Linked DNA regions of Xenopus tropicalis. The protein of the gene in region 2 purifies or fractionates together with the protein of the main gene of each other region. This does not show direct contact. Links are inferred from orthologs where the notes say so. Each region holds a gene or a part of one and is shown on either strand. Other genes may lie near its edges.

Region 1 (10,225 bases), about 25 Mb from region 2:
GCTGTTAGCAACCAATAAGGTTTTTGCTTTTATTTTCAAACGTGTATATTGGCCAACTATTCGACTTTGTTCCTTACTCAAAACCACTATCTTAAAGGAGATGCAGGTGAGGGTGGCTGTATTGTTTGCTGGATATAATTACCATTAGAAATCAGTAGCATGTACCAGGGAATTAAGGTCCAAATGACAAAACAAAAATCAAACCCATCAAAGTATTTGCAAAACATTAACAACAACAAATATAATTATACATACAGCCTCATTTACTGTTCATTGGTACAGGTATGGGACCTGTTATCCAGAATGCTCAGGGCCTGGGGTTTTCCTGATAAGGGGTCTTTCTGTAATTTGGATCTCCATAACTTTAGTTTGTTAAAAATCATTTAAATATTGAATAGGATTGTTTTGTCTCCAATAAGGATTAATTATATCTTAGTTGGGAATCAAGTACAAGATACTGTTTTATTATTACAGAGAAAAAGGAAATCATTTCTAAAAATGTGAATTATTTGATTAAAATGGAGACTATAGGAGATCCGTAATTTGGAACTTTCTGGATACAGGTTTCCGGATAAGGGATCCCATACCTTTATGTCACTGGGCTCACATGCATTTGGTGTCTTAAATTTATCGAATTTCAGAATAGTACTTAGATGCATCTGTTGTATAAGTGTGTTGTACTATTCTGATCAGTCCTTTACTGATTTGTTTGCAGAGAGCAGCGAGGAAGAGAAAGGTCCAGTGATAAGGAGGATAAAGAAGGATGTGGTTAATCCCATGATTCAGAAGGTTAGAGTCACAGGTATTCACTATGTCACCCTGAGGCCCCAGGAGCATTAAGGAGCTTTATAAAATTTTCTGCCAGTTAATCTTTCAGAGTGGGCAGCAACACTTCTCCCAGATATTTCCTGTAGACCTCTCTGTTTAGAGATATAGATACCACATCATCTTCTCCTGGCAGCTAATGGCTGAATGGAAGCACAACACATGCCATAACCCTCTCCAGCCTGTCACCCTGTGTGCAGGACAGACGTTAACATGCCACAGAAGGGATGTGTGTAGTGTTTGTCCTCTTGAGCTTTCTGGTAGTTGTATTTACCTCTGTGTGTGATTTAGAGCAGGCAGCAACCAAAGGACTGTGAAGATTACAAAGCAAGCAGCAGTGAAGATGAGGACAAAACAGCGAAGTCTATCACTGTGTCTTATAAATCTACCCGATCTGCGGTAAGAGACTCTTTTGGAATTGGCTTATTCTTAGCACAGGCTTTATGTCATAAATGTTAAAATCTTTGAAACCCATCATCAGTTAGTTCTTTGTGATATTTTATTCAGTTTGTGAATCAGCCTATGCTGTCTGTCTTGTTTCAATATAAATGATGCATTGAAAAAAAATCTGTATTTATAGAATGACATGTCTAAGACACCCCCCATTTCTTACTATGTATGCATTCTTTGTTTCTTGCAGAAACCAGTAGGGCCAGATGACATGGGAGCCACAGCTACATATGAACTAGACACTGAAAAAGACAAGGATGCTCAGGCAATTTTTGAGAGGAGCCAGAAAGTACAGGAAGTGAGTATTTAGTATGTGATGCAGTGGATTATATATTCACCTTAAACTATGAGAGAACCACTAAAGCAGAGAACCCCAACCTTTCTTACTCATGAGCCACAATCAAATGTAAAAAGACTTGGAGAGCAACACAAGTGCCATAAAAGTTTGTGGAGGTGCCAAATAAGATAGGTAGCCTCTATGCACACCATCAGCTTACGAGGCTTTATTTGTTAGCAAATCTTGTTTTTATTCAACCTAAACTTGCCACCAAGTCAAGAATTCAAAAATGAGCACCTGCTTTGGGGGCAGTGAGAGCAACATCCAAGGGGTTGGTGAGCAACATGTTGCCCCCGAGCCAATGGTTGGGGATCACTAAGGAATGCAATAAGTGTTAGTAAAGCATGCAGTGTTCTGCATGACTTACATGCAGTTTCTTTAAAAATTCTGTGCTTTTTTTCTCTTCACTTTACTTTCTTTAATATTGTAATACTCTCCTTTTCATAGATGACACTCTGTTTAGTTCCCACTATTTATTTTGCTTTAATCTGACAGGAGTTGAAGGGGAAGGAAGATGACAAGATCTATCGAGGAATCCACAACTACCAGAAGTTTGTGAAACCCAAAGATACCTCTATGGGCAATGCATCCTCTGGCATGGTTAGGTACGTGTACCCCTCCCACTTTCCATTCTGTTTTAATTTAGAAACATTTCACTTTTCAATCAACTGGGTGATTAAATCCTAATAGTTTAGTCTGCATTGATAACTTTAACTTTTATCATTTTAGGAAAGGACCAATACGTGCCCCAGAGCACCTCAGAGCCACAGTACGTTGGGATTACCAGCCAGATATTTGCAAAGATTACAAGGAGACTGGGTTCTGTGGGTTTGGAGGTCAGTTGCTGGATTGTGTTGTACCCCTTTCCATTAAATGTCTGTTGTTCCTTTGGCCCTTTTTGCCCATATTTTATTCTCTCTTCCCTTACTATTATTTATTATGTAACACTGCAAGTTTTACTCACAGCTAGTTTCACTTATACTGGGCCTAATTTAAGTACACAAGTATGAGCAATTACCCATAGCAGCAGTCAGTTTTTTACTTTTATTTTCTAACTTGTGGACTGATTAATCTTATAGCTGGCTTCTGTTAGCAAAGGAACAGTTTAGCTTCCACTCATATTTGCAACCTTCTGTTTCTGCACCCAAAGTCACTGTGTTGATGAAACCCTTGAGTATGCATTTCTGTGCTGAAATCCACTCGCAGTGGCTCCGGGTACAGACACATATCTGAGTGGATGCCCACAGATCAGCTAAATTTCGGCTAGTGCATATCCTGAGAATCAGCCCTAGAAGGCATTAGCCTGGGAATTCATATCCGTCACATTCTATTGTACATTTTAAGTTGAAACCTTCTGCATTTGATGAACATGTGCATGTTTTATCATTCAGACAGCTGCAAGTTTCTCCACGACCGCTCTGACTATAAGCATGGATGGCAGCTGGAGCGGGAGCTTGAAGAAGGACGTTATGGAGCAAATGGTACAGTATAAAACATGCAGTTGCATACAATGGGATAAACTGATGTAGCGCTGATCACAACATTTCCAAAGGGCTAGTTCCTGCTAATCACAGGGCAATTATAAATCCTTATTTAATGCACAATTGTAAATTTCCTGTTCCCAGCATTCTAACAACTGATTGGATATTGCTTTTCAGATGAGGAAAATTATGAGGTGAGCAGTGATGAAGAGGACTTTCCTTTTAAGTGCTTCATTTGCAGAGATTCCTTTAAGAATCCGATTATAACCAAGTGAGTGCTAAAGCTGTTAATACAGGTTTGACTGACTTGTTTGTCTAGGGGTTATAAATAATACCAGTAACAATAATTATTATTGCAAGTTTTGTTGTAGATTTAATACAAAATGTTTTTTATTGCTGTATTCTGTAAACGGGGTACAGCACAGATGGTAAATACACTACAGGTAAACGGAGACTTAATACTGTGTTTTGGGCATAGGGTGGCACATTGGATGAATGTAAAATACTGTTAATTCTGATGTACAAGCTACATAATACACTACTTTCTGTGACATAATCAGCATTTTGTGTTTCTGTGTTTGAACAGTTACAGTTTAATTAATATATATGCCCATTTGTGTTAATTCCCAAATGCCTTTTCTATTTATTGTTAAATAACTATACATTTTTTTATGCATTCCCTTTCTTTTAGGTGTAAACACTATTTCTGTGAGAAATGTGCACTTGAGCACTACCGTAAATCCAAACGTTGCTATGTATGCAACACACAAACCAATGGTGTTTTTAACCCAGCTAAAGGTAAGTTTTGGAGTGATATGATGGGTTGGTTGTGCTCACAATGCATCACATTGTCTTTCATTTCTACACGGTTTAAGGAAAAAAGGAAAGTTCTCTATTGCTATACAGTTATTTGTATTCCAATCAGCAAGTTCATTAGATCATTGCATGTCACTTTCATTGGGTCTTTTTGTAAGTAGGATATGTTTTTTTTCTATATTTCATATACAGGCATGGGACCTGTAATCTAGAATGCCGAGGACCTGGGGTTTTCCAGATCCAGTCTTTAAATTAGATCTCTGTACTATGAGAGATGGCCTTCCCATAATATGGAGCTTTCTAGATAGTAAACAGATCCTATACCTGTACTGTTCTAATCTAATTTTTTCACTGTAATGCAATGTTTAGCACGTGTTAGAAGGGAGGATTTGTTGCAGTCATATGAAAAAGTTTGGGAACCTCTCTCAGCCTGCATAATAATTTACTCCACTTTCAACAAAAAAGCGGTGGCATGTCTTTCATTTCCCAGGAACATCTGAGTACTGGGGTGTTTTCTGAACAAAGATTTTTAGTGAAGCAGTATTTAGTTGTATGAAATTAAATCAAATGTGAAGAACTGGCTGTGCAAAAATTTGAATGCATGTAACTGCTCAATACCAATTACTGGCAACACCAAACAGGTCGATTAGCTCATTAAGCCTTGAACTTCATAATCAGGTGTGTCCAATCATGAGAAAAGGTATTTAAGGTGGCCAGTTGTAAGTTATGCTTCTGTTTGACAACATGGGACAGCATGGGATCTTTAAAGCAACTCTCAAAAGATCTAAAAACTAAGATTGTTCAGTATCATGGTTTAGGGGAAGGCTACAAAAATCTCATAGGTTTAAACTGTCAGTTTCAACTGTAAGGAATGTAATCAGGAAATGAAAGGCCACAGGCACAGTTGCTGTAAAACCCAGGTCTGGCAGGCCAAGAAAAATACAGGAGCGGCACATGCGGAGGATTGTGAGAATGATTACAGACATCCCAAAGATCACCTCCAAAGACCTGCAAGAACATCTTGCTGCAGATGGTGTATCTGTACATCGTTGTACAATTCAGCACAAACTTAAAAAAATTAAGAGGGGTCCCCAAACTTTTTCATATTACTGTATACTCTCTATTAAAGGAGAAGGAAAGTAAAAACTAAGTAAGCTTTATCAGAAAGGTCTATGTAAATACAGCCATAAGCACTCACAGAAACGCTGCACTGACTTCTCTGTCAAAGGATTTGTTGTGTCTGTTTTCCTCTGCCAGAGACACGCAGCTCTCTCCTTTCTCCTGCTCCCCCCTCCCTCAAGAATGCTAAGAACTCACTCCCCCCTTAGGAATGTGGATCTGAGCCAATCAGCAGGAAGCTTCCTCATAGTCTTACTTAACTGCACATGTACACCGGTCTTGGTGCAGGAGCGAGGCATTATGGGAACTTTCTTTACACAGCTCAGTGTTTTTTTTCTTCCTGTTTGGCTTCTGATCATCTGAACAGGTGAAATATGGGGAGACTTAAGGGCACTATTGAGAGAACTGAAGGTATGCCTGCAGCTTGAGATTAACTCTTTATTAGCCTTTCCTTCTCCTTTAAATATTTTTCATTCTGTTTTGGGGAATGAGCTGATGGATAACTTTCTATGGGTTAAAATTCTCTATTTGCTTTTTATCTGAGATTACAATGGTCCTGTTAAAGGAACAGTAACACCAAAAAATGAAAGTGTATAAAAATAATTAATATACAATGTACTATTGCCCTCCACTGGTAAAAGTTGTGTGTTTGCTTCATAAACACTACTACAGTTGTGTGTTGTGTAGCCATGGGGGCAGCCATTTAAATTGAAAAAAGGAGAAAAGGCACAGGTTACTAAGCAGATAACAGATAAGTAGCATAGATTCCCGTTGTATTCTACAAAGTTTATCTGTTATCTTCTTATGTAACCTGTGCCTTTTCTCCTTTTTTTCAATTTAAATGGCTGCCTCCATGGCTACACAACAGCTATTTCTATTAACTACAGTAGTCTTTCTGAAGCAAACACACAACTTTTACCAGTGCAGGGCAACAGTACATTATATTTTAATTATTTTAAAACATTTTTATTGTTTAGTGTTACTGTTCCTTTAATGGCTCAAAAATCAGATCTGACAGCTCACATAGAACTCACATCTTGCAAATTGCATTAAAGTCTTAGCGCCATAGTTGCAGAATATCGTATCTATAGTGCAAGTGAAAATTAGCCCATTTACAGTTAGAATACGCACTGTGATTTCAAGGCAAGTCAATTCAAGTTATCGGTGCCCCTGCAAGTCCACACATATGATTTATATGTAAGCTATTGGAAAAGCTGCAATGGTATACAAAACACAGATGTTAAAGGAACAATAACACCAAAAAAGGAAAGTGTTTTAAAGTAATTAAAATATAATGTACAGTTGCCCTGCACTGGTAAAACTGGTAAGTTTGCAACAGAAACGCTACTATAGTTTATATAAATGAGCTGCTATGTCAACACGGGGGCAGCCATTGAAGCTGGGAAAAAGGAGAAAAGGCACAGGCACTTAGCAGATAACAGATAAGCTTTGTAGAATATAATGGGGTTTTATCTGTTATCTGCTAAGTAACCTGTGCCTTTTCTTCTGTAAATGGCTGCCCCCGTGGCTACACAGAAGCTTTATTTATATAAACTATAGTAGTCTTTCTAAGGAAAACACACCAGTTGTACCAGTACAGGGCAGCATTACATTATATAGTAATTACTTTTATACACTTTCATTTTTTGGTGTTACTGTCCCTTTAAGGCAGTTTGAGACAAAAAGCAGTGTCTGATTGCTTCCTTCCTTCTTGTGTCTCTTAATCTGGTTTTCCTTTCCTTTATAGAGCTGATTGCAAAGCTAGAAAAGCACAAAGCAGAGGAAGGAGGGTCAGACTCTTCAGAAGAACCGCTGTAAATTAGAGATCTTTTGTGTACATAAATCATTGTTTTTGTAATGAAATAAATGGTGGGGGAAAAATCAAATTTCATTGCAGACTTGATGCTGTTTAACAGCTTATTTATGTTATTTTATTATTACTGATGGAGTCATGAGAACCTGTCAGTGATACCTATCCACTTACTGTACATTAGAATTGCATCACAAAGATGAAGATGCATCAGCAATTTGTGTGTGTATTCTGGTCTGTAAAGTATCACTGATAAGGCAGCTTCACCTATGGTTAAACGGTAATTAAGGAAAGGCTACATTTTACATGTAGATGAAATGAAAAACAAGTAACTCATACAGGGCTGCATTACAATGCAGGGCCTAGTGAAGAAATTATTTTTTGAGCTGCAGAATAAAAAGAATCATAGGGGCATATTTAGCAAGTGGTGAAGGATAGTTCACTACAGTTTACTGGTGCAGTTGGCAAATGGCTCCTAGAGCTGCCTTATCTTCTTTCTCTGTAGTGATTGCCAACAATGAAAATACACATCTTAAACTGCTTCCAACCTGGCTTTTAACCTTACATGCTCAGCTTTGGTGATTGCTTCCAAGAGAAGATCAAGTTTTGCAATATGGTGCCCATTAACCTTGCTGTGCTTCTCTTCTTTTTGGGAACAGGTAGGGTAAATGGGACTGTTTTGAGAGGGAGGCCAATTTAGCGGTCTTAATTTATCTACATAGTGGTTTTGTTCTCATTTAATCCCTTCTACATTGTGATGATCACATTTTTAATTCACGTGTATAGCATAACAGAAGAGACTAATTCAAGAAAGTAGTACAAAATGAGCTATTTGCAGCATAGCGTCTTTATCACACAGAATGTTGCTTTTATGTATCATTCCCATTATTTTACATTTTAAAGTAAATAATCTAATTTAATCTAATAATCTAAGTGTCTAATCGCTCCCTTTAATATAATAATGCAGTAGGTCATTGCCAGTGGCTTACTGTGTAGAGAAGAAAAGGAACCTTTACCCCTGAAACATGGCAGGTCTCTAAATAATTATACTTTTCTAGTAGGATTTTCTTTTTTGATAATCCCATACAGAACCACTTCTAGAGCATGCATACATGCTAGGTAACACCAGCCAATGATTGGACAGAGCTGTGTCCATCTCTCAGATGGCTTCCTGTTATAGTAAGAATCTGCATTTCTTCCTGTTGTGTGATCAGTGAGTGACACATAGAACATCACTAAATAGTGGGTTAAGGTTAAAGATGTAAAAGGGCAATATTTACTTATACCTTTTATTTATACCTTTGTGCAGAAAGTATAGCTAATCTTTGTTAGAGCCTTTAGTAATTGTGTATCATTGTTTCATACAATGCATAACTACAGCAGGGAAAATCAGAATTGAACATGTCAAGGTTTTTCTCAGTTAATAATATATTAGGCTATAGGCATGAAAACTAGGCATGAAATTTACACCAGATAGCGCTAACAACCCAACTAATACGAACATACAAAGAAATCTAAACAAATAAGTTAAAGTTATTAATAAATTAAGTTACTACTGCTCAAGTGCAGTTACCCCTAGCAACTAATAAGATGTTTGCTTTTAAACAGGTGACCAGTAAATTTTAATGGGTTGCTGCTTCAGGGCAAACTTAGTGACTTTAATTAAATAACCTGTTGGGTAGCTGATCTACAGTATTTTCATGTACAGCAAAACGTGTGGCTCAGTTTACACTATTTATTCATTAAATGTCAATGGTTTTGATTCCAGCTTCATTGATGTATATTGTATATCAAGCGCTGCTTTAAATGAATAAGGCTAATAAATTTCGGAAATCCACCATTCTGTTTAGACATTTAGAACCAACTCATTTTTGTTGAAACAAAGTCTGATATTGGCTTCTTTTAACAGGCAATGTACTGAACCAGGTGCAAGTGCTATGTAAGCTTAGGAGTGCAAAATGATATTTTAACACCTAATCAAATAAGCCATTAACCACAGGCTCTGGAGCCCCTTCTTGTCACAGCTATGAGGAGTAAGGAAAAGGGCACATCAAATGGACCCTCATATCCCACCCCTCTTGTATCCAGCATGCTATTCATAGTTCTTACCATATGTAGAGCTATAAGAGGTGGTTTTCATATGGTTAAGGCACAGTTTTGACCCCCTTTGAATGCAATCACCTATCCTTAGAAAATGTCATTAGAAGAAAGATCCAGTGAGTCTATATTAAAAAAAAAAAGTATCCTTTATTACACTGGCAATGTGTAACGCACAACTCACTATGGTTCTACAACACGTACAAATGTGTCTTCACAAACTATGTACATGTTGAACACAGTATGGTTCAAAAGCACCGACCTTCATCCTTCTCTCAGCCACAGACACACAACAAATGTACGTATATGTGTCTCTAGCAGGTCAAGGGCAGGGGTCATATTTTAAATTATACAGATGTATATTTATATATATTTATATGTAACAAAAACATTTAAATTGGCAAACGGAAAACGACAGTTATGAGGACAAGTGACAAAGCATTACAGACACCCATGCATAAGCAATTACACATTTAAATGCAGGTTACATGAGAACAATTTGTTCCAAGATGTACAACATATTTCCATCTACTTCATTTCTACTAATTCAACTTAATCAACTCTTTTACTAAAGTGACATGGCCATGATTTGGGTACAGATTGCAGCCTCCCAACACTGTAAAAAACCAATGATGTGGTTGTCAGTTCTTCAGACAAGTGGATCTAATAGCCCAGTAAGGCTAAGATATTGCAGTGTTTCATACATGGACATCATGTACTACGTATGACATTGCGCATCCACACTCTTAAAGGGAGAGTCAGGGGGTGCTGGGAATTGCATATCTGTAGGGCCACAGATTGCACATAACTGATGTTACCTCTATTTTTACTTTAAAAGTAAAACTTGGAAACAAAAGGGCTCAGAAGTTATAGTTATGCTACAGATAGCTGAAACAGTTTTGTGGTAACGATGCTTACTAGATTTGTTCAGGGTCTTTTCAGATTGTATAATATGTAAAACACATGAAATTGATTTTGCTTACTATTTCAATATACTGAAATAATACTGAAGGGCTAAATTTATAAAGTAGATTTTCCCTGTTGTATTCATCACTACAGGTCAGAATTACTGCACATTTTTTAAGGGTTAAATTGCTTCCTAAATGTCCTCATAGTTTATGGGAGGGAAGTACAAAGTGTAAAAAGTGCAAAATGTTATAAAATCACTACATCAAAAGCTCGAAATGTAATAATCTGTACACAAGAACTAAAAGAACATAAAATCTTCATTGGCCAGGATGCTACGGCTTACTCCCAGCCTGCTCTTTATTGTACCAGTTAGAGCTGTCA
Region 2 (11,869 bases):
CAAAGGCCACTGTAAAAACTACTTTTTATACCTGTTAAATCAGTCCTTCTGTCCCTCTGATCAGTTTTCTGAAGAGATGGGAGTGGCTTAATTTTAACCTTACATGCTGAGAACTTTCTATATGTATGCTTACATCATCATGTCGAGGCCTTTCGTTTATTCCTATTGCTTGCTTCTGCACTCTAACCAGTTGCATAAAATGAACGGGCATTGGTTAATTTCTCCCTTGCCTCCCCCCACCCCCCAGCACAGGGTCTGTGCAGAAGTGAAGGATCAGCAGAGGGATGATTATGAGGTGAATATCTCTTCAGCTGCACATTTTTTTCCTTAACTATGTATATGGCAAAGATTGTTCTAGCAATGTGAACTATTAGATTTGTGAATGTTGTACAAAGGTGAACAACCCCTTTAAAGTTACTACATCTTTAATAGCAATTCCCATTCCATTTTGTATTCCTGTTAGCAGCCTTTCCACCTAAATACACACATTATATATATATATATATATATATATATATATATATATATTTATTTTTTTTTTTTTTTTTTTTTTAATACATGCATCAAGTGTCTCACAACTCTGCAGGGTCTGTATTTATAACTTACCTATTGAGCACAAAATTTGAGGAAAACAGCATGAAGAAACTCCATTCATTCCCTTGGCAAGAATACCCATGCTTAGCTATTTCCCATGCCAGCCTACCAAGCCCTGCACCAGGCACTAAGATATTTATATTGGAGACATCACTGGAAGATACAAAATGGAAATTAAGTGGTGCAACGATCTATTAAAGCATTAAAGGAACAGTACAGTGTAAAAATTAAACTGGGTAAAATGAAGACTGCAGAAAATGAAAAATATTTGTAATATAATTAGTTAGGCAAAAATGTAATCTATAAAGGCTGGAGTGAGCAGATGCCTAACATGCAGGTCAGATTCAAATGTAAACTAACTAAACAGCTATGTCCCATATCAACTTTCATTTTAAAAGGTACTGTAACACACTAAAGCATGCAAATGGCAGCAGTGTTCCTCCACTACACCTTTGATTCATATATTGTATATGAAATATAAAACTGAGCTCAGTAAGTTTAACTTAAAGAGAAAGTCCATCCAAAGAGCGTTTTTATCCTTTTTTTGCATGATGAAAGAAGCAAGACCTGAATTCTTAGATGGAAACTTCATTTGTAATGTCAGGAAGCTTGCTTATCTTAATCAGACTGCAAGCTCTACAGGGCAGCGACTGCTTTCCTTGTGTGTTTCTTAGCATGTGGCACTTAAAGAATAAGTAAGTCTTTTATCATAAACGTCTCTACCTTTCATACCTTTCTCCCTGCACTCAAATGATTCTAAATAGTGCCCAGCATAACGCACTTTTCTCCCTGCACTCAGTCTCATGCAGATTCTGCACCACAAGCAGCTCAACTTTAGCTGTCTCAGCTACTTCCTAGTCTAGTGTAAAGCTCCATCCCCTTTTCTGAGTTCTCTTTCGCTCTCTGACTGTGATGGTCGAAGAGGTGTCTACTGAGCACTTCTGATTGATTTCAGAAAAATAGAGAAAAATCAGCAAAGAAATGGGGGTGGAGCTTCACGCTAGACTAGGAAGTAGCTGAGAGAGCTGAAGTTGAGCAGTTTGTGGTACAGGATCTGCATGAGACTGAGTGCAGGGAGAAAAGTGCGTTATGCTGGGCACTATTTAGAATCATTTTAGAGACATTACTGATTCACTAAAGTGCGATAACGCTTATCGCATGGTTTTTTGCGTTAAAATTGATGCGATAAATAAGTACCGATTCATCAAAGTCTTTTAGCATGCGTTAAGACGCATATCGCCTGCGCTAAATAACGCATCATTGCAAGGCCTTCATTTTAATGCATTGCATTAATTAGCGAATAGAAATAGTACTAACGCATTATTCACAAACACATAAGAAGCGTTAAATGCACTAAATATTATAATACTTGGGGCAGGCAGTACTTAAAGAAAATTGTGGTTCATGAGCTTTTGGCAACACAACATGGACTTTGCAGTGGGATTTTTTCAAGTATGTGTTGGCCCTAGAGTGATGCATCCTCCAGTTTGCAGGGAAATGATCATTTTTAGTAAAGGCGTTAAATCGTGCACTACAATGCAAAGATATTTTCAGATTTGTCAATTTTGTCTGTGTGGCAATACCCTAGGGCCAATGTCACACCAGGCTGCTAAAATCACCAGTGGAAAGTGCCCATTGGAGAACGTTCACTACTTAAAGTGACATTAAAAAATTTTAGCTGTTGCCAACTGATTGTTACAGTAAATTTCAAAGACATTGACATGGAGACATGGAGTTTCTACACAAACTGTTATAATAGAGTACTAATTCCCTTCCAAATTAGGAATATGTAATCTATGTATCTGTGCCACTGCAAAACCTGGCACAGCTACATCCACTCTGATTTGCAGTTGCACATAACATATTATATATCTAATGTTATCTGCCATGCAACATGTGCCTTTTCTGCTTTTGAATGGCTGCCCCCATGCCTAAACAGCAGATTTATATAAACTATACTAGTCTTTCTGAAGCAAACATAACTTTTTACCAATGTAAGGCAACAATACCTTATATTTTAATTACTTTAAAACACTTTCATTTTTGGGGTTACTATTCATTCCTAGGAAATGCCAGTGTCAAAATGCCTAAAGTTACATACCTCTCATCTTTTGGAAAATGCTTAAGAATTTCATCGATTATAGGCTGGTAACAAGCGTCTCTCTCTGACTTGCCATCCTCACTCCAATCTCTCACAAACTGCTTTATAGTAGATTTAAGTTTGTCCATATCAAAGGTTGAAGGAGGAGTTGGCTTTCTGTATCCCTGTGTATTGGAAACATAGGCTTACATACTATGTGATCTGATTTCAAGGGAAGCTCCATCTATAAATACAGCAATAAACACATATGCTCAAAACAGATGAAATGGTGTTCACGTGGAAAATCAAGTTCTACAACACAAAATATACTATGTGTATTTTGTAATGGCTGCCAATTTGCAGAGCACATACATCATAATATATATAACTGGCTTTTGTACCCATGAGCCTTTTCAAAATTGGACCATGTGGTGCATTCCAGAATGCTACAGATACACAGTACTGCATGTGTAAATTGAGCTTGTTCTTCCTGCCGGTGGATACATATGGGAACAAAGATCAACACCTAGGATCTATTACATGTGATTACAGACCCAAGAATAACATACATTTACCATCAAGTGCCATGCAACTTGATGATTTGAAACACACTGTGCTGCAAGCATAAAATACATTTCTAAGGGTGTCCTCTACCAAAAATGTTTTTTAAACAATAAATATGAAACATGTTATTTTGTTATTACATATTATTTCAAGAGTCAGACATATTTATTTATGGTTCAGTGTGATTAAAGGGGTTTACCTTTTATTGGGGTGTATACTACCCACTGACTACCAAATTGTATGACGCTGCCATTATGTTATGAATACTGAGCATCACTTGCCAGCTTGTATGCTTTGTACCACAGTAATTAGCTAGAAATTAAAGAGAAAGCTCCAAGGTAAAGTGGAACTTTGCAGTTACCACCCCAGCCTCTACACTAGACCTTCAGTTATGTATGCATTATTAAACATACAAAAAACATTAAATTATAGCAATAAAATAATCCATTCAGTTATCAAGTATTCAATTTCAATAAGACTAGAATTTTAACTGTTAAACTGTATTTTTTAAATAAAATTGTACTTACTTTTTCACCATATTCTTTGTTTTCAAACATATGGGTACAATCATCTACAATCATTTGCAGAATTTTCTGATTGTGATTTATGCACTCACGGATCTTGTCCAAGTGAGGAACGAAGTGGGGAAGCAATTTCTGTTGATTTTTTGACAAGGACTTAAATTGTCTTTCTGTGCGGTTCACTTGCTCATGAATGCTACTTCTAAATAAACAAACAAAGACAGAATTCACTAATTAAACAAATTTAGGTTATAAATAAGATACTAATTTTAAAGAATATTTGAGGATTAAATTTGCATTTTAAGTACTGGCCACTGGGTTAATGCAATTGCCAGAGAAATGGAGAGATCTGACTTTCCATATCCTGCACAGTTTAGCAGAGGCAGAATTAAGGTGGCCATACACGGGTCGATTGTAGCTGCCGATATCGGTCCCTTAGACTGATTCAGCAGCTTATTGGCCCATGTAGCGGCAGCAACGACTTGCATGCCCAACCGATATCTGGCCTGAAATTGGCCAGATATCGATTGGGCAAGTTAAAAGATTGTCAGATCGGGGACCACATCAGCTTGTTGATTGTTGATGTGGTCGCCGAACCGACGGCGCCCATTGCCGTAGTTGTAATCTGATCATTTGGCCCCAGGGCCACCTGTATGTGGGGATATCGGGAGAAGATCCGCTCACTTGGTGCCCTTGCCAAGCGACCGGATCTTAACGTGTATGGCCACCTTTAGAATCTGAACTAACACAAGATTTTGGAGGCAAATAGTGCAAAAAACCAAAAAAGAAGCATGCAATCTCAGTTACATTGATCAAATCCTAGCATTAATACTTATGGTTGCCAACCTTTCTTGAAAAAAAAAAAAAAAATACCAGCCTTCCTATATAGCTATCTTTTTTACCCAAATTAATAATATTGGCATAAAGCATCATTTTTACCAGTCAGGTGGTAACACCATAGATATTAAGCATTTTAATTTACTTTTACCAAACCTTGTGTTTTATAATGGCAATGACATAGTTATGTATAATAAAATGAATCATAGTTACAGGCTATAACTGCTTATGGATGAGAGAGCATCCATGCGATTTAGTCTAAATCCACATCTATTCCAGTCCCACTTAGCTCATTTATAACCAAATAGGTTATAAATAAGATACTAATTTTAAAGAATATTTGAGGATGAAATTAGCACTTTAAGCAGTGGACATTTCCCCTACAACAGTAAGGGTTAAGGCAATGCTTATGGTTGAGAAAGTGAGATTTACTCTGGATCCACATTTATATCTATTCCATTCTCCTCCAGCTCATATTAAAAATGATATTAGTTACTACCCCCAGCATCATAATACAGCCAAAATGGATGCTAGACCATGTAAATAAACAAAGCCTTTAGAAGTGCATGCTAGACACGGCAGCCAGACAAAGATACTCACCCATAGCCTATAAAGGCACTGATGATCTTCCAGAAGTGGTCTTTTTCCAGCGCCTCTTCCTCCTCTGGACTTTTGCGCTGACGTCGCTCCCTGTAGGCACATATATCCTGCTCCTCCATAACGCTCAACAGTTGCGCTTTACGTTGGGCAGACGCGATTTTCTTAACAGAACCAACAGTCCCGGGTCGCTGCTTAAACGTCCCGCAACGCCATGAACATCCACCTCTTTGGCTCCTGCCTGACAGATAATCCCGACAGCACAAATTTCATCTCGCGAGACTATGGCGTCACGACTACAAGTATATAAGTGCAGTGACTGCCGGCGACGGCCTACTTTACGGCAGTGCAATCATACGCTTGCAGAAGAACAGCCTTTTACAAAGTTTTTCCCACTCTTCACAGTTCCTACTTTTATCAGTGACAAAAATAAACGTTTTTCGTTTCTTTTTGGTATAAGTTGCCTGCCATACACCCCCACCGCTGTATTAGAGCCTCAGCTCCCGATATTGGCCACAACTGAGTTACCTTTTTTTCCTGCTCTCTAAAACCTATACTTGTGCTGTGGAGTAGAAAAAAACGACTTTAGTTTTTATCATGGTTGGTGCAGCAACATCCTAATATATGCTTCTGCATACCTCCCAACATTTTGAAAACGGAAAGAGGGACAAAAATAAGCGCAGCATGGTGAATTTTCTGACCATGCCCATTTCTGCCCACACCCACTCTCATTTGATTACATTTGGCAGGTTATTTAAAGTTTGATCAAATTTCTCAAGGTTTTGGGGTCTTGTGTAATGTGTTATTACAGTTTTGCTGAAAAAGGTGAAATTGCCCATATGGCTAATGCCAGACGAGGCATAGGGCGGATATTTTCGGCAAGCGGAAAAACGATTGCTGAAAATTCCGGCCTAAGCCTCCTACTTGTGCCTGCACCCGAATAAATAGAATACGCTCGGGTGCAGGCACATGTAGCAGAAATACTCATAAAATTGCAAGAGTTTGAAAGTCTGCGAGTCTCAGTTCCCCCAAGAGACCTGTTTAGCTTATTAGTTACATTTGTATCTCAGTGCAGGTGGGGCTTTTTACCTTTCTGGGCTCACTGCCAAAAGCCCACTGATTTCATTAAAAGTGAGAAACAATGTATCTAAGTGCAGAATGAATGAGATATACTCGGGTGCAGACACATGTAGCCGATATACGCATGAAAACGCAAGATAATGCAAAGTCTCACGTTTTCATCGGCTACATGTGCCTGCACATTCATTCGGGTGCAGGCACAAGTAGCAGGCGTAGGGCTGAATTTTCGCCAAGCGTTTTTCCGCTTGCCGAAAATATCAGCCCTACGCAGTGTCTGGCATCAGCCTAGATTTCTGGGTTCTCTGCCAAAAGCTACTTTTAATTAAATTTGTATCTTTTTTTAGCTTCAATGCAAGGAGATCAAAGGGAAACGAGGGACTTTTCAGTAAGAATCCAGGACTACTGGTTGAGCTGTCGAAAGAGGGACTGTCCCACGAAAATCAGGGGACTGTCCCACAAACACCATCAGATCTTCTTCTCCCAATTTGACCAGAAAGGAAGGTTTGTGCATTAAATCATTAATCTGAGGGTCCCCATGTTTTTGTGCAAACAAGGGCTAGATTTCTGACAATTTTGAGACAAAACAATGATTAATTAGGAGACAATTGGTAAATTGGACAAAAGTAATGTTTTTCTCTTTATTCCCTGTGATCCTAACACTGAAGTGAGTACCTTCCCTGCCACCTTGACCCATGGTTACCCATAAACAGACTTTTGGTTAGTTTTAGTTTTGGTCCAGTGTTTTTATGTGAAGATTAGGTCAATATTTTTCACAACCTGGCGACAAAATAAGTTTGGGTTGGAGGGTCCCAGTGTTTTGGGTTTTTTTTGTACAAACAAGGGCCATGTTTTTCACAATTAAGGACAAAACCATGGCTAATTTAGGAAAAGACAATAAGTGAAATTGGCAAAAGGAAATCATGAGTGTTTCAATTCAATTTTTTTTTTACTTTGGCATGAGGATCCCAGTGTTTTTGTGCCAACCAGGGCAAAATTTTTCACAATAGGGACAAGATGTTCACCCAAGATATTGGGTGAAACTGAGTTTTAAGTGTCTATTTTTTTAACTTCAGTTTTGTTTAACAATTTACGGACAAAAATGGCTAAGTTATGGGTAAAATTGACAGTAACAGTTATCTAGTTTTTAGGCTCATTTTTTTCCTACAGTGGCTTCAAAGGGTCCCATTGTGTTTTGGGAAGACTTATGGCAATTTAGAAACAAAAAGGGCTAATTTAGGAGAAGACAATTGGTGACAGTCACTTTTAAAAGTCATTTCCATATCCCATTAGGGCTTTGTATTGGGAGTTTTACCGAGTATCAGTGAGCCAGAGATATACCAATTGCCAACAGTACCTTATTGGTCCTAGAATATACATTTATTAATTTGATCACCAGGAAACTTTGGAAAACAAAGTACTGCGTTTGCTTTGCCACCAGCAATTTACTTTGTGGTGGGAAGGTATTTTGGGGAGATTTGTTGCCCACAGTAGCTGTATAAGGAATGGAGCAGGATTTCCATCACATCAGGAAGTGCAAATCTCTTTACCCAAGCAGCCAAAAGAACACATCACATGTGCTGTTCTTGTGAAAGCCAACATCCCAAATTGCATAGTTTTATTTAGGAGAGAAAATAACTATTAAAGGAGAAGGAAAGTTACAATCACTGGGGGGTACCAAAGGTTAGGCACCCCCCAGTAATTGTAAGCACTTACCTTAAACCCCAGGCTGGTGCTCCTGTTAGGAGAAACTCCACTGCCCTTCTGTGTAAGTGCTACAGAGCGTTCCTGCTTCTTTGTTCGTGTGGGTGCACATGCACTGTAGAATGAAAAGCTGAACTTTACTAGAAAAGCTATCTTTTAACTCCATTGTGCATGTGTCGGCACCAGAATACGTGAAGAAAGAAGAAGCAAAACAAGAGCATTGCTCCGTGGTGCTCACACAGAAGAACCATAACCACACCTTTTGGGGCCCTGGGACTTTCTTCTGAGGAACTGATAGGCCAGTGCAGTTTTTTTACAAGCAGGAGCAGCAGCCCGGGCTATCCTTTTCTTTAAATCCTACAATCTTCAGGCTGGTTACTCTTTCAGCTACACTGGGTCCCAAATATGGGGGGGGAGGGCACTCAAAGACCTCTTAGCAAAGCACCCCCAAAAATGTCCATTTATTGTTCAAAAATTACATGATAGATCCAAATTAATGAGAGCAATTGCAATAAACTGAATTTCTCTTTTGTGCTTAAGTTCTCAGTTCAGCAGTGGCAATTAAAATACTTTCAGATCTTCTCCTGCCACTCCAAAAAAGTACAAATACTATGGTCAACAGATTTATGAACCATTGGAATGGTCAGTTTGTAAAATGAAAAGTAATGAGGTGTTTTTATGAATAGTATTTTAAAGGAGACATATCCTATAAAAATTCTGAATGTACCAGTGAATTATACTCCTAGATATAGAAGGATTGTGCTTAAAAAAGTTGTGTTTCTGACTGATTTATTGAGAAATTCCACAAAAACCCCACTAGCCCCGCCCATCAGTTCCACTTCCTGCTGGCTCAATTCTCTGGATGAGCTGGGGAGCCGGCGGCCCTCTGTACACTGCACTAGGCTGACCTGATAGGGAACTGAAGCCTGTCTGTGCTTGTGTGAGTGCAGGGCTGTGATTGGCTCTCCCCCTCCTACTGTGCTTCTGGCAGGGACCATTAGGACACGCCCACTCTCCATTTCAAACTCGGACAGTGTAGTGATAGGATCTATAGGGAGCTCCAATAAAGGGGCCATTGTTACAGATAGGATTAATGTTTAGCCCAAAGGGAAACCAGCACCGGATATTATTCATAATTGCCTACAAAATTAGGGTTTTCCCATTTATCCAATATGTCCCCTTTAATCCTACACACATGTATTAACCCATGCCTTTGAAGTGCCCTGCTTGACTAGTAAAACTGACACCAGTGCACTTGAGGATAGTCTTAGTATGAATGCTCATATCTCTCTTTTTTTATACTTGTAAAATGCAACAGTTCTAATATGTTTTTTTTTTCCAAAACGACAGAGAGGTATAACAAGGTGTAATAGCTAATTAAAAAAAAGATACTTTGTATTCTTTTCATAATGGTGTAAATAAAAATGGATACTAAAGTTTTTCTTTACTTCAGAACATCACTATACAAAATTTCCACAGCATAAGGAATTCCATGTTGCAACAAACACAACTGAAGTCAAACAAATGTTTCCAGACAAATTGTTTTAGTTATAAGCATTGTGAGGTAGCATGCACAATATAGCAACAAAATCCATTGCTTTGAGTTTGTCAATTATAAGTATGATGCAACATTGTAAATAATCATGTTCCTTTCATCTGTTCTTAACCTGTGATATCTTCCTACTACATATTAAACATGTTTGGGTCCGTACTCTTTGTATATTGTGCCGGGTTGTGGTCTTCTGGATTCATTTTTACATTAAATGAATAATTCCTAGAGAAGGCGACCAACACTTTCTTTTAGCAGCTTTACTTGTGAATTGAGAAGCTGTCAAAGATAAACAATACACTGTGAAGCACATATACACACAATACAAGTAATAGCAACCTGTGAGTTTCTGCTATAGCAGCAGGTAAACATAATTGTCTCCAACTTCACTCTTAGGGCTGTATTTATGAAGATGAGTATAATAAAAGTACTATTTCTTAAGCTTTTATGTCTTCTTATTCTGATTTTACACCATCCATCACCATTTTTGAAATTATCAGGCAGAATCCATTACAAAGTTAAATGTGGTATTATTATCTTGGCAGGCACTTTGAGGGAATGACTTCAATCCATGCTTTGTAAAATCCAAAATCATTTATTGGGAATTCTTGTTGCCTTACGTGTTTCGTGCTACACAATGCACTTAATCATAGACACAATTAGGCCAGGCAGTGATACCTATTATGCAATAACCAATGCATATGTATAGAATAAAACTTAGGGGCTTATTTATTAAGATTGGAGATAAATATCACCACTGATGGTGTCCATAGAAACTAATTAGAGCTTTGCTTTTAATTTCTAACTTGCAGGTAACTGTTTAAATCTAATTGCTGATTGGTTGCTACAGGCAACATCACCGGTGATATTTATCTCCAATCTTAGTAAATAAGCCCCTTAGTATTAACTGTATATGAGTGATCAAGTATACATAATACAGAATCAGGCACAGGCCACCAATATCTTGCATTTGTTGGTGGATATCGGCTGTGTGTGCTTGCCCGGGTGGATTCAATGTTTCCAGGTGCATACACAACTAAAAGTATATTAATAGAGAGGCTCACAATCTGCCTCATGTGACCTTGCCCTAAGCCACAGCCTTTGAGCAGCTCATTATCAGAGGGTGTATCAGAAGACTGGTAATTAGTTTTATCAATTACTATCAATTTCTCCTTGGCTTCTCATAACCAGGAAGTCACAGCACTAATGTGAAATTTGTTCCCTTTTCTACTTTAATACCAGAAATAATAATAACAAAAACCATAGATATTTCTTAAGTAAAGCTCTAAAGGCAAAAAGTATGTTCAGTTCAAGCCCTATTCATTGAGCTCATGCTAAAATGAGGTGCATACTGTCTTTTTCAAATATATAAAGGTACATCCACACACCATATAGATTGAGTGTGCATATTAAAGATATGGTACATAAACTAGATGAAAAACACTGAACTAGTATGGAAAACCCCAGGTCCAAACAATTTTTGACACTTTGTACACTGTATATTTGTGCATTTGCAGATAAGGTTCTTTTCTCAAATACATAGAACACCATGCTTACATTGTTACAGCACAAAAACAAAACAAATACAACTGGTTTTCCATTAACAGTTGGGGTACAGGGCATCCTGGATAACGGGATTATACATCCTATAATATAATTATATTCAAACACCAGAAGGAAGTAAAATGGAAGCAAGATAGCAGAAAGAAGCAGTAAATAAAGAAGAAAAGCTACTCTTGCAGTACCACCTACAGTACCTAAGAGAGAAAGCAAAGATCCCAAAAAGGGGAACGGTCAGCTATAAAACTAACAGTACAATATAAGCTGAGCTGCAGTGAAAACAGAATATATTACTAAATATGGTTCAACTCATCCTTAATAAATAAATACTATTAGTATTAATCTAGATCATTTGCTTACCTACTTATTATATCAGAATAGACTAAAGACTGTATTTCATCTTCAGATTTGGTTCCATCCAAATATACTGAGAAGAAAAGAGAAAATGTTTTTCTGTAAAAAGTACTATATACAAGGTGGCAGAAATAACTTGCCAGCTTCAGTTCATGCCAGCTATTTTGGGCCTTTTTTTAACACCTTAACAATTCTTGCATAATTAAATTTTTTGGTACCTGGCCTTTGCAGAATAATCTATTAAGGATTAACTATATAGCTTTTCTATGGCAAAACATAATAAAAAGCATCTCTTTTTGCATCAACAGTATTTTCTAAACTTTAATATTGCAATATTTTGGGGCATATCTTAAATTTAAGATATGTAATACCTACTGAACTGCCACCTTGTATTTAGTACTTTAAGTAAACTGTACAGCAGCCCAACATGAT

What was found. The genes of interacting proteins can lie anywhere in the genome.
Region 1: the proteins of carnmt1 (region 2) and rnf113a purify together in Homo sapiens (affinity purification with mass spectrometry; 3 studies listed by BioGRID and IntAct, counting the BioPlex papers as one, with this or other methods). This does not show direct contact. The link is inferred for Xenopus tropicalis from reciprocal best matches to the Homo sapiens genes CARNMT1 and RNF113A.

What each region holds. Positions count from the first base shown.
Region 1 is NC_030677.2:156,459,968-156,470,192, forward strand, and holds the end of rnf113a (RING finger protein 113A), read left to right. Parts: intron 1-715; coding exon 716-789; intron 790-1,116; coding exon 1,117-1,224; intron 1,225-1,465; coding exon 1,466-1,573; intron 1,574-2,107; coding exon 2,108-2,217; intron 2,218-2,341; coding exon 2,342-2,448; intron 2,449-3,003; coding exon 3,004-3,093; intron 3,094-3,270; coding exon 3,271-3,364; intron 3,365-3,784; coding exon 3,785-3,891; intron 3,892-6,775; coding exon 6,776-6,846; 3' UTR 6,847-6,910; downstream 6,911-10,225. UniProt on the Homo sapiens protein: Required for pre-mRNA splicing as component of the spliceosome. As a component of the minor spliceosome, involved in the splicing of U12-type introns in pre-mRNAs. E3 ubiquitin-protein ligase that catalyzes the transfer of ubiquitin onto target proteins.
Region 2 is NC_030677.2:131,480,575-131,492,443, forward strand, and holds the start of carnmt1 (carnosine N-methyltransferase), read right to left. Parts: upstream 5,714-11,869; 5' UTR 5,316-5,713; coding exon 5,197-5,315; intron 3,962-5,196; coding exon 3,766-3,961; intron 2,860-3,765; coding exon 2,696-2,859; intron 748-2,695; coding exon 607-747; intron 1-606. Other genes in the region: nmrk1 (nicotinamide riboside kinase 1), read right to left, coding at 9,729-9,802, 11,448-11,510.